Linked DNA regions of Diceros bicornis minor. The main gene of each other region encodes a partner of the protein of the gene in region 3 in a complex. Links are inferred from orthologs where the notes say so. Each region holds a gene or a part of one and is shown on either strand. Other genes may lie near its edges.

Region 1 (3,748 bases), on a different chromosome or scaffold from region 3:
GCCTTGTAATTTCAATGGGCATTTCCATAGTAAGGAGGATGAACAGCCTTTTACCTTTAAGGACCACTGCTATTCTTTTCTGTGAATTGTCTCTTCATGTCCTTGCCCATTTTTCTCTTCGGATTTGGGTCTTTTTCTTTTCAGTTTTTACGAGTTCCTGTGATGTAAGCTGCAAATATTTTCTTCATACTGATCTGATTTCCTGGGAATACACCATGATCCCTCTGACCATCTGGAGCATACTTTAATCTTATCCTCATAAATCATCTCATTCCGGGACACCTCCTTTGGGGATAAACAGTTTGGGTAAAGCCGGATAAAGGCAGGCCAATCAAAAGAATTACCTGACCCGTGTAGCAAGTGCAAAGAGGCTGTTATACGTTTACCAGGTAACTCCATCGTTCTTATGCAATGGTCTGGATGACACAAAGTCTTGTGTAGGGCAGTATATTCAAATTACAAAACTTATTTTAATGGGTTCATTAAAACCTCCCAGGGTTCGCCTTCGCCTCGCTTCCGAGTTAGCAAGGTGCCCCTAGCACAACCTCCATCTGCCAGACAATAGCTCCTCGGTTTCGCCTCGAGATGTCAAGGCAGGGACGAACCAAGCGGCCAGGAGGCTGCACTTCACGACGGAAGAGGGAGCATTGGTTTCTAAGAGATGAAAATTTAAACAGGGAAGCTGACCGAAGCCTAAACCGACCCAGTCCCCGCCCACGGCCCCGCTCCCGGGGTTGCACCTGGCCCACCGGCGCGCGGAGGCATCACAGACGGACGCTGCACCGCAGAGGCCAATCACACGCCACCTTCGCCCAGATTCCTCCGCCAGAGGCCGCGCCGCAGCCGCAGGTGGCCCGGCGAGCGCTTCCCCTCCGCGCCGCCAATCGCGACCCCCGCCGCCCTTCCCGTGATGCCCCGCAGCTGACCTCCGACCTCGCGGCCCAGCCTTCCCGGCGGCCCGCTTCCCTCCCCGCCCTGCCGAGCTTGCGGCGCCCCGGAGGCCGCGGGGCGTGCCACCAAGACGTAGCTCCTCCCTGGGCGCCTCGAGGCGCCGGCCGGGCGCGGTCCTTTCGCCTTCCTCCCCGCGGCGGGGCCCTGCGGTGGCCGGGTAGTGCGGCCGCTTCTGGGAGGCGACTCGTCGGTGAGTGGGCCGGAGCGAACATGGCGGGGCGGAGACGCGGACGGCGGGCGGGTGGGGCGGGGCGTGGCGGCGGGAGGAGCGGGAAGGGGGTGGGGCGGCGGGGCCTCGCTTCCTCCCTGAGCGCCATTTTGTGGCAGCGAGACCCGCAAATAAAGGGGATTGTCGGGGCTGCGGCGGGAGGAGGCGCGCGGGGGCCGGCGGAGCGCGGTCGGGCGGCCTGGGCGGCAGGGGCAGCGCGGCCTCGGCCTATGTGACTGAGGGGCGCCGGCGCGGCCTCCGTCCGGAGAGGTAGGTGTGGAGCGGCCGCGAGGACCTCCGGGTCCCAAGGGCTGAGGTGCGGCCGCCCCGGCTCGGGAAGGGGTGGACAGAGCGCCGAGGGCGGCTCGGGGCTCCCGGGCCCCCGGCCCCCTGGCCCCCTGTTAGCCGCGCCGCCTGCCCTCTTGCGGGGACGCTTCCGCCGCCCCGAGCCCGTCTTACCTCCGTTCTGCGTCGCCGGGGGCGAGGTGAGCGCTCCCGCGGGCCGGCGAGCCCGGGAGGCCGCCCCCTCGGTGGCGTCCTGTCCCCGCGTCGGTGTCGCCCCCTCCCACCCCCGCGGCCGGATCCGGGGACTGGCGGTGCTGACGAGTTGAGCCAGGGAAGGGAAGCGGCGCTAGTTGCCCAGATTTCACGTCGCGCAGTTGGGTATGACTGCAGCTGCGTTCTCCCGGAGACTTCCATTTTTAAATGGTTGTATGCGTTCTGCGTAAAAAAAGAATTTCTTTTTCAATTACTTCGAGATATTCGTGAGATTTTAAAGTCTCATCTTGCATCCCTGTAAGTCTGTTACTAGTTGATTTTTTTAAAACCATGTTTCATGAGTCAGTAGGGAACACACAGTGGAAAAGTCCAAGTTCTTGTTTTGATGAAGTCAGTTGGATATTTGATCCCAAAGGACTATGTTAAAATCTTAAAAAACAGTGCTTATAAAGTAAAAAAACGATTCTTTTGCCCGAGGTAGAGAAGTATTTTCATGAGCGTGTTACGGTCGTGAGTTGTCCGTCTGACGGTTTTTCATTTCTTAGAATTTAGCTAATTCCATTGCTGAGGAAGGTAAATGGAAGTCACAGGTCTTATCACCACAAGTTCTACCCGTTTTATGATTTTTAAACTTTGACAATTAAGTTTTCTGTAATAGATAAATATATTGTAGACGTTTAAAACCCCGTCAGAAAAAACCATGTGTGAAAATCTTTTCAAGATGGCTAAATTTTATTTATTTACTCGTTATTCAGTAGCATGTGCTTAGGCAAATTGGGGAAAGAAATTGCAGTCCACGAGGTGGCTTGTGATAAGGAGGATGAGGTTAAATTTTAAGGGTTTGGCTGAGTGTATTTCTAGACGTTTTTTTTTAGGTCTTACATTGTCTTAGCAGATAGCTATAGCTAAGTGATCGGTATTTTCACTTCTCATTGGTGGAACTTAGGCAAACTACCCAAATTTCTAAGTCCCAACGGACGAAAGTAATAATAAAAGTGTGTGCCAGGCACTAATTTATAGAACTTCATAATACCTAGATTTCCTGATTAAATTTTGAGTCAAGCTTGCTCAAAATATTTTTGTGTATTATTTGTTAGAAATGACTTGGTATATATGATGTAGAAAATCTGTAGCAGCCCTGTCATGTAGAGATGAGAGTTGTGATAATTATATTTGTACAGTACATTACAGCTTTCAAAGTCCCTTACAGTCTTGTATGTTTGTAGTATAGAATCCCCTTGAAAATATTCTTTACTTAGCTGTTTTGATCATTTTCATGGAACTGTATATTATCTGGCTCTTGAAAAAAATTTTTTTCTTGCTCTTAAAAATTTTCTATTGGCAGGACCTGTAGCCAAACAAGACCTAGGTAGTATTTCATTTTATTCTTGTTTTTATTTTGCAAATTATCTCCAACTTTTTCTGCCTCTAAATATTTTCTATTACTAAGCTTATCAGCGAAAAGCTTTTCAGTAACAGTATATGCTATTGTGTATTAAGATGCATCGGACTAGAACTCCGTGCCATAAATAAATATTCTTCCTTGAAAATGTTGGGTGGAATTTAATCTTTCCTAAATGCACGTTAAAATTATCTTTTATGTTGATGTTAGTATTTTATTTGAAAAGTCCTTTGTTTGTATAGCATTTTTATGGCACTTAAAGCATTGAGATTTACTGCACTGTGTGAGGCAGGCAAAATTGGTATCCTCTTTTGGCTGACTGGGAGACTGCAGCCCAGAGTTAAATGACTTAAGACCGCGTGACTGATGTACAAGAGTCAGGAAAGGTAGTCTTCCAATTCCCAACTGGTACCGTTTCTACCATAGTGTCAGATTATTAGCTTTTTGTGTTCAGTTATGATTGGTTTCGGCGAGGTACGTGCTTTCTTACTGAAGTTGTGTTCGCTGGTGCTTGCCCCTCTTAGGATCATAATGCTAAGAGCCAGGGGCGTATTGGGATCTGGGGTGCTAGGCACCCAGCCAACCAAAACTGAATTCTCCATCATAAACTGTTTCTCATTGTTAAGGCATCAAGAGTAGATGATGGTTCTGATGTTCTAAACTTGAGAGCTATATTATCTCTGAATTAT
Region 2 (3,748 bases), on a different chromosome or scaffold from region 3:
ATGTAGTAAATTGGTGAGTTTCTAGTTATAAATGAATGGAACCATTAGCCCCTCTTCTTTTCTGCTGATTGAGCAACTCATCCGGATAGCCCACATCCCACTGTTGTTTACCTGATGACCACCTGGAGGACCTCTACAACACAGTCCACAGAACAGATGTCTCTGACTTCTCTCAAATATTATCCAAGTAAAATCTGATTTCCTACAATGTATTTATTCAATGCAAATCAGCTCATATGCAATTAATAAATAAGGGAATGTCAGAATAACATGGAAAACTTGCTGGTTCATACATGATTTTTTCTCATCATGTTAATGTTCTGAAGTGGTCAGGGGCAAATTTTCTCACAGTTAAAGAAAAAACTTCAAAAACACATGAATACCTTAAGGAAAAAAGGTGAGAATCCTACAGAAATGCCTTTTAAAAAATAGAAGTGTCTGGTTTAGTGGCTTCAAGAAGTGCTACACTTTGCACTATGTTAACCTATCTGGGAAGCTACAAGTTCAGATGAATAAACTGCAAAGGCATTTCCCTTGGTTAAACAAAAACAAGACTGCTGGATGGAAGCAGGAAGTAGGAGCCCCAGGGTATATAGGCTGTGGGGATGGAATGACTTTCATTATAGGTAGAAACACCAGTGGAGATTTAACTATGCTAGCATTTTTAGTAGAATATTGTAAGGGCTCTAGTAACAAAGTTACAGAGGTTTTGAACAGGCTTCTTCTAAAGCTATTTCTTCTATAAGCCCTGCTATTTTTAATGCAGGCTTTTGCAGAAGCAATTTTTCAGGAACACACATATATAGGGAGAAATGACTCAATCATTTCTTCCAGAATGCTGTATTTGAAAAAGTTGATGAGGTACTTAAGCCCAGTAACAGAAGTCTGTGATAAATCAAGAAGCAACTGGGTCATTTGTCTATGACAGAGACGTAACTGTGTTATATTTTCTGTCTAAAACTGATTTGCATAAAATAAAAGTCTTAGAAACAGAGGAAACCAAAGAATAAGAAAAAACCAGAAAATTGAATCTACAACAAGACATCAAAGGAACTGAAGTTTATATTATCAAGAAAAAAATTCTCCCTCTTGGGTAATTCAGTAACTACTCCAATGCTTGACTGCTAATTAATCCCTGATCATACGACTTGCACTTCTTCCTCTACTCACCCTGCCCTCTTAACTTCTCTGTAATTATCTAAGTCCTATACAGCCCTGAAGACCAAATTCCAAGTGCCAACTCCTCCCCGATGCCTTCACTGACTAAACCAACTCTTGCTACCTCTCCCTTCACTGAACTCATTGTGGACTCATTCATTTGGCATTTTACATATATCATATTGTATTTCTAACTTTTTTTAAGTATTAATCCTTTATCCTCAACTAAATTTCAAACTCCTCGAGGGCAGGGACAATATCTTACTTATTTTTGTCTAACTGGAACTCATGCACACTGTAGATACTCAATAGATGTTTATTTATTATGGTGTCAGAGTCCTGCCAGGGCATCTTCTAGTTCCAGGGGCCACAATATGAGCACACGGGCCTCATATGTATTAACACAAGATTTAGAGATGGACTCGAGTATACTACTAAACATTGGAACAAGCTACCACAAGGGTGGTTTGGATTCACTATCCTTGCAGATCTTTATAGTTGATTTGCCTTAAATAATTCAGGGCTTGTACTGGCGACAGGGGGTGGGCAGGAGTTGACAATCTTTTGAGGTTCCTTCAAGTTTTGACTGTGACATAGCGGGCAACGGGAGGGGAGAAAAAGTTTAAAAGCAAAAAACAAATATTTTCAGATTCCTGCTCGGTATGTAAATACCTAAAGACAATGCCAGTTCCTCTACTCATTTAGCAACACCGAGGGCCACTGACCTGGGCGCTGTGGATATAAAGGTTCAGTCCTTGCTCTCACGGTGTCCATAGTCGCAAAGAAATGACCAGTACAAAGTAGTAGCTATAACCGAGGGAAGAACAAAGCGCCATGGGAGCAACAAAAAGGGGACCTGCTGCTTCGAGGGGTAGGTAGCTGAGAGGTCTTAGTAAAGGCGACGATCTGGTAGACTTAGGAGTCAGTAAGGAGGACGGGGGTGGGGCCGGGGCGCCCGTCCCGGGAAAGAGAACTGGGCGTACCACGTCCCGAGGTGGGAAGGAACCGCGACTACTTGCCGGAGGGCGCGGCGTCTGTGCTGCTGAGGGGGAGGAGAAGAGCACCAACGCACGGGGTGTTACAGAAAAGGCCGCTTGGGGAACGGCACCGACTCAGGAGCTGTCTTTTTCTCCAGGGTTCCCTCCCGCCCTCCCCGGGTAAGCATCGGCCCCGACAGCCCCGCGCCTCACCCAAGTGCCCCGAGTCCTGCTTCCGCCTCCGCTGCAGCCTCTCTCGCAGCGAATCCAGCTGCTTTTTGTGGGCCTGGATAGAGCTCCACGTGTCCGACATCCTAGTCTCCAGACCCAGACACGTCTCGAATCAAGCGCGGCGAACTAGCACCTCCCAGTCCCAGCTCCAGGAAATACCCAATTCTCACGCGGACACCCAAGGCTAACCGGAAAGAAATCCCGGGAGATGCGCTAGATGGAAAGGTCATTTCCGGCTTCGCACTCTCTTTGAAGCTCAAAAGAGAGCCGCCTTAGGTGTTGGCAGAATGGCGGATGTATTTTTTATTGGAACTCTCGCGTGCTTCCGGGTGCGGTGAGGCTGTGGTTGCCATGTTGGTGCCTGGCAGAGCGGCCATGTTGCTTGTAGACGCGCATGCGGCCATGTTATAAATACAAGAGGGGAGTCCTGTGAGTTGAGCTGGGTTGTGAACGTACACGTAGAGCAGCACGTGTCGTACAGATTTTTGAAACGAAGGATCACTCATTCCTTTTGACAGTTTGATACTAATATACTTTTTCCACTGAAGATGTTGTAGGTTTATGTTTCCATGCATTCATTTACAAAGATATAGCTATTACATTGGTTTCCAGTCTATGGGTGTGTGCGTTTGTATCTGTGCTTCTTTGAGAGAGAACGAGGAATGATGGAGCAGAGATATTATAAGGGGTCTACAACTACATATTCTCACTCTTCTTACTTACACCAAATCTACAAGTATGATATGTAATACATTAAAATAAAGTCCTCATAAGGAGGCACTAGAGGGGTTTCTGAGGTTGTGGTTCCATTGCGTTTCTTACTCTGGGAGCTGGATGCATGAGTATGTTGTTTATGAAAATTAATTGAGCCAAACATTTTGGTATGTGCACTTCTCTGTATGTGTAATAAACTTTTAAATACAAAAGTTTTTCGTTTTTTATTTTTTTAAATGGGGTTCTCTGAATGGAAGTATTTGGGAACCATTGATTTATCAAATGGCTACATGATGCCAAACACTGTGTCAGAAAGAATAGCTTGAAAAGGCATGGCTCTGGTTTTCAGAGCATTTCTCTTCTGGTAAAGAAACTAAGACCCAGCTTATTAATATCAAACCATCTTTACAGCATAAGGCAGCGTGAGCATAGGCTTTAACAAATAAATGTCACTGCAAAGAGGAGGAGGACTCCAAGCCAAGATGACCACGGAAGGCATTGGAAAGAAGGTGGCATCAAGGTTCAGGCTTGAAGTGACAGCTATAGCTTCACTGAAGCTATAGGAGAGAATTCCAGGCCAATGACATGATAAAAGCAAAGGTCTATGCTAGAGTTAGGAAAGCAAGTTGTATGTCCTGCTAATCCAGGTTAGTTTGCTAGAACATAGA
Region 3 (3,748 bases):
AGAGACAGCAAGGCGGCTGTGCCACTGGCTTCTAATACAGAATATAACCGGAGGTGCCGGCAAGGACAAGAAGCCACAGAAAAAAAAATGCATGGAGCGTAAATGTCACTCGATCATTTAACTGGGAGCGGCATTACGTATAAATAAACACACAGGTATACTATGGGACGACAAAATCCAAAATCCACTTGAATTCGCAACATAGATCAGGAAGTCCAGACACTTCCGCGGTGGCCCGCCCGTCCCGGCCACTCTCGCGGGCTGGGAGAACCTGGGAAAGTCGGTCACTCCCCTCGGTTACCCGGGGTACTTGGGCGGGAACCGGGAGCGCCAGAGACCTGGGCTCCGGAGCGAGCGCTGCGTGGCTTCCTACCCGCGGGACCCCGAGCCCGCGCCCAGCCTCTGCGCCGCCCCGGGGCGTTGGTGTGAACTGTGAACTCGCGGCCAGGCCTGCCCGTCGCCCCAGGGACCGCAGGCGGCGCCCTCGCGCGCAGGAGCGGGTGGGGCTTTTTCAGGCTGTTCACACTGGGGCGAGGTGGACTAACACGGTGTGTGCCGGATGCCCTGGGACGGCTGCCTGAGGGATTCCCGGGCCCCGACAGCCGGAGGCCCTGCCCAGCCAGCCCCTTGTCCTGCACAGGTAGGAAGTGGGGAGCCCAGTTTCGAACTCCGACGGCCGAAGCACAGCCAAGTACGCCGCGGGACCGAACAAATGTTTGAGAAGAGAACGCCGACAGCCCGAGCAGGCGGAACAGACTCGTGATCACCGTCTCGCGACGTCTAAGTGACGTCACACAGCAAGCGCGTGTTCTACCCTTTCACCTTCAGCCTCCTCAGTATATGGACCTACCCCTTTAAGCTAGTGATAGACAGTTATTTCAGCCTATCAACGTCCTCATCGATATCCAATCAGATTTAAACTTCTGTCAGCCGCCGGAGGAGTTGGAAGAAGGGGGTCGAAAGAGGGAGCGCTCTCTCTCTCGCGAGATCATTGTAAGCCGGCCTTTCAGAAAAAAACGCCAGAACAGATGGCCGGACTTCCCAAATAGTCAGTTAAAAGACGGGGTCACAAACCAATGAAAGGGATGAGGAAGTGGGATCACTGCTTTCACCGCGCAAGAAGTACCGTTACAGGGCAGACTTTTTGTCCAATCAACGCCTCCAGACTTTGGGTCAAGTGACCATAGAGTGCAAGGGGCGGAGCTACAGCCTGGCGCGAGGAACCGTTAAGATGGACAACGAGTAGGACCAATGAGGTACTCTGACTAGGGCGTTGGGAACCCAATAACAGTGGACGGGCGGGCGCCTTCCCCGAGCGCGGGGAGATGTGAAGACAGACAAACAGTTTTCCCAATGAGACTGTAGAGGAGAAGTGCTAATTGACCAATGAGGACGACGGGGCGGGAGCCTTTGCCGCGGCGGAGTCCAAGATGGCGGCGTGCGGTTCCGCTGTGTGAAACGAGCGCGGGGCGGCGGGTTCATCTGCTCCGCGGAGACGACCTCCGACGGCCCGCAACAATGAAGGGGAAGGAGCGCTCCCCAGTCAAGCCCAAACGCTCGCGTGGTGGCGAGGACTCGACTTCCCGCGGGGAGCGGAGCAAGAAGTTAGGGGGCTCTGGTGGCAGCAATGGGAGCAGCAGCGGAAAGACCGACAGCGGCGGTGGGTCGCGGCGCAGCCTTCATCTGGACAAGTCCAGCAGCCGAGGGGGCAGCCGCGAGTATGACACTGGTGGGGGCAGCTCCAGTAGCCGCTTGCACAGTTACAGCTCCCCAAGCACCAAAAATTCCTCGGGCGGGGGCGAGTCGCGCAGCAGCTCCCGGGGTGGAGGCGGGGAGTCACGTTCCTCTGGGGCCGCCTCCTCAGCTCCCGGCGGCGGGGACGGCGGGGAATACAAGACGCTGAAGATAAGCGAGTTGGGGTCCCAGCTGAGTGACGAAGCAGTGGAGGACGGACTGTTTCACGAGTTCAAACGCTTCGGTGATGTAAGTGTCAAAATCAGTCATCTCTCGGGTTCTAGCAGCGGGGATGAGCGAGTAGCCTTTGTGAACTTCCGGCGGCCAGAGGACGCGCGGGCGGCCAAGCATGCCAGAGGCCGCCTGGTGCTCTATGACCGGCCCCTGAAGATAGAAGCGGTGTATGTGAGCCGGCGCCGCAGCCGCTCCCCTTTAGACAAAGATGCTTATCCTCCGTCAGCCAGCGTGGTCGGGGCCTCTGTAGGTGGTCACCGGCACCCCCCTGGAGGAGGTGGTGGAGGCCAGAGATCACTTTCACCTGGTGGCGCAGCCTTGGGATACAGAGACTACCGGTTGCAGCAGTTGGCTCTTGGCCGCCTGCCCCCTCCACCTCCGCCACCATTGCCCCGAGAGCTAGAGCGGGAGCGAGACTACCCGTTCTATGAGAGAGTGCGTCCTGCATACAGTCTTGAGCCGAGGGTGGGAGCTGGAGCAGGTGCTGCTCCTTTCAGAGAAGTGGATGAGATCTCACCCGAGGATGATCAGCGAGCTAACCGGACGCTTTTCTTGGGCAACCTAGACATCACTGTGACAGAGAGTGATCTAAGAAGGGCTTTTGACCGCTTTGGAGTCATCACAGAAGTAGACATCAAAAGGCCTTCTCGGGGCCAGACCAGTACCTATGGCTTTCTCAAATTTGAGAACCTAGACATGTCTCATCGGGCCAAACTAGCAATGTCTGGCAAAATTATAATTCGGAATCCTATCAAAATTGGTTATGGTAAAGCTACACCCACCACCCGCCTCTGGGTGGGTGGCCTGGGACCTTGGGTGCCTCTTGCTGCCCTGGCACGAGAGTTTGACCGATTTGGCACCATCCGCACCATAGACTACCGCAAAGGTGATAGTTGGGCATATATCCAATATGAAAGCCTGGATGCAGCTCATGCTGCCTGGACCCATATGCGGGGCTTCCCACTCGGTGGCCCAGATCGCCGCCTTAGAGTAGACTTTGCAGACACAGAACATCGTTACCAGCAGCAGTATCTGCAGCCTCTGCCGTTAACTCATTATGAACTGGTAACAGATGCTTTTGGACATCGGGCACCTGACCCTTTGAGGGGTGCTCGGGATAGGACACCACCCTTACTATACAGAGATCGTGATAGAGACCTTTATCCTGATTCTGATTGGGTGCCACCCCCACCCCCAGTCCGTGAACGCAGCACTCGGACTGCAGCCACTGCTGTGCCTGCTTATGAGCCACTGGACAGCCTGGATCGCAGGCGGGATGGCTGGTCCTTGGACCGGGACAGAGGTGAGCGAGATCTACCCAGCAGCAGAGACCAGCCTAGGAAGCGAAGGCTGCCTGAGGAGAGTGGGGGGCGGCATCTGGATAGGTCCCCTGAGAGCGACCGTCCACGAAAACGTCACTGTGCTCCTTCTCCTGACCGCAGTCCAGAATTGAGCAGTAGCCGGGATCGCTACAACAGTGACAATGATCGATCTTCCCGTCTTCTCTTGGAAAGGGCCTCTCCAATCAGAGACAGACGAGGTAGTTTGGAGAAAAGCCAAGGTGACAAGCGAGACCGTAAAAACTCAGCATCAGCTGAACGGGATAGGAAGCACCGGACGACTGCTCCCACTGAAGGAAAAAGCCCTCTGAAAAAAGAAGACCGGTCTGATGGGAGTGCAGCAAGCACCAGCACTGCTTCATCGAAGCTGAAGTCTCCTTCCCAGAAACAGGATGGCGGGACAGCCCCTGCAGCAGCAGCCTCTCCCAAACTCTGTTTGG

What was found. Proteins that work in one complex are often made in the same cells at the same time.
Region 1: RBM15 (region 3) and WTAP share a complex: the UniProt entries of both Homo sapiens proteins name them as parts of the WMM complex. The link is inferred for Diceros bicornis minor from reciprocal best matches to the Homo sapiens genes RBM15 and WTAP.
Region 2: RBM15 (region 3) and METTL3 share a complex: the UniProt entries of both Homo sapiens proteins name them as parts of the WMM complex. The link is inferred for Diceros bicornis minor from reciprocal best matches to the Homo sapiens genes RBM15 and METTL3.

The regions. Positions count from the first base shown.
Region 1 is NC_080778.1:10,090,494-10,094,241, reverse strand, and holds the start of WTAP (pre-mRNA-splicing regulator WTAP), read left to right. Parts: upstream 1-997; 5' UTR 998-1,141; intron 1,142-1,317; exon of another isoform or gene 1,318-1,429; intron 1,430-3,748. UniProt on the Homo sapiens protein: Associated component of the WMM complex, a complex that mediates N6-methyladenosine (m6A) methylation of RNAs, a modification that plays a role in the efficiency of mRNA splicing and RNA processing.
Region 2 is NC_080744.1:27,857,851-27,861,598, reverse strand, and holds the start of METTL3 (N6-adenosine-methyltransferase catalytic subunit), read right to left. Parts: upstream 2,581-3,748; 5' UTR 2,449-2,580; coding exon 2,349-2,448; intron 1-2,348. UniProt on the Homo sapiens protein: The METTL3-METTL14 heterodimer forms a N6-methyltransferase complex that methylates adenosine residues at the N(6) position of some RNAs and regulates various processes such as the circadian clock, differentiation of embryonic and hematopoietic stem cells, cortical neurogenesis, response to DNA damage, differentiation of T-cells and primary miRNA processing.
Region 3 is NC_080743.1:43,366,380-43,370,127, forward strand, and holds the start of RBM15 (RNA-binding protein 15), read left to right. Parts: upstream 1-805; 5' UTR 806-1,386; coding exon 1,387-3,748. UniProt on the Homo sapiens protein: RNA-binding protein that acts as a key regulator of N6-methyladenosine (m6A) methylation of RNAs, thereby regulating different processes, such as hematopoietic cell homeostasis, alternative splicing of mRNAs and X chromosome inactivation mediated by Xist RNA.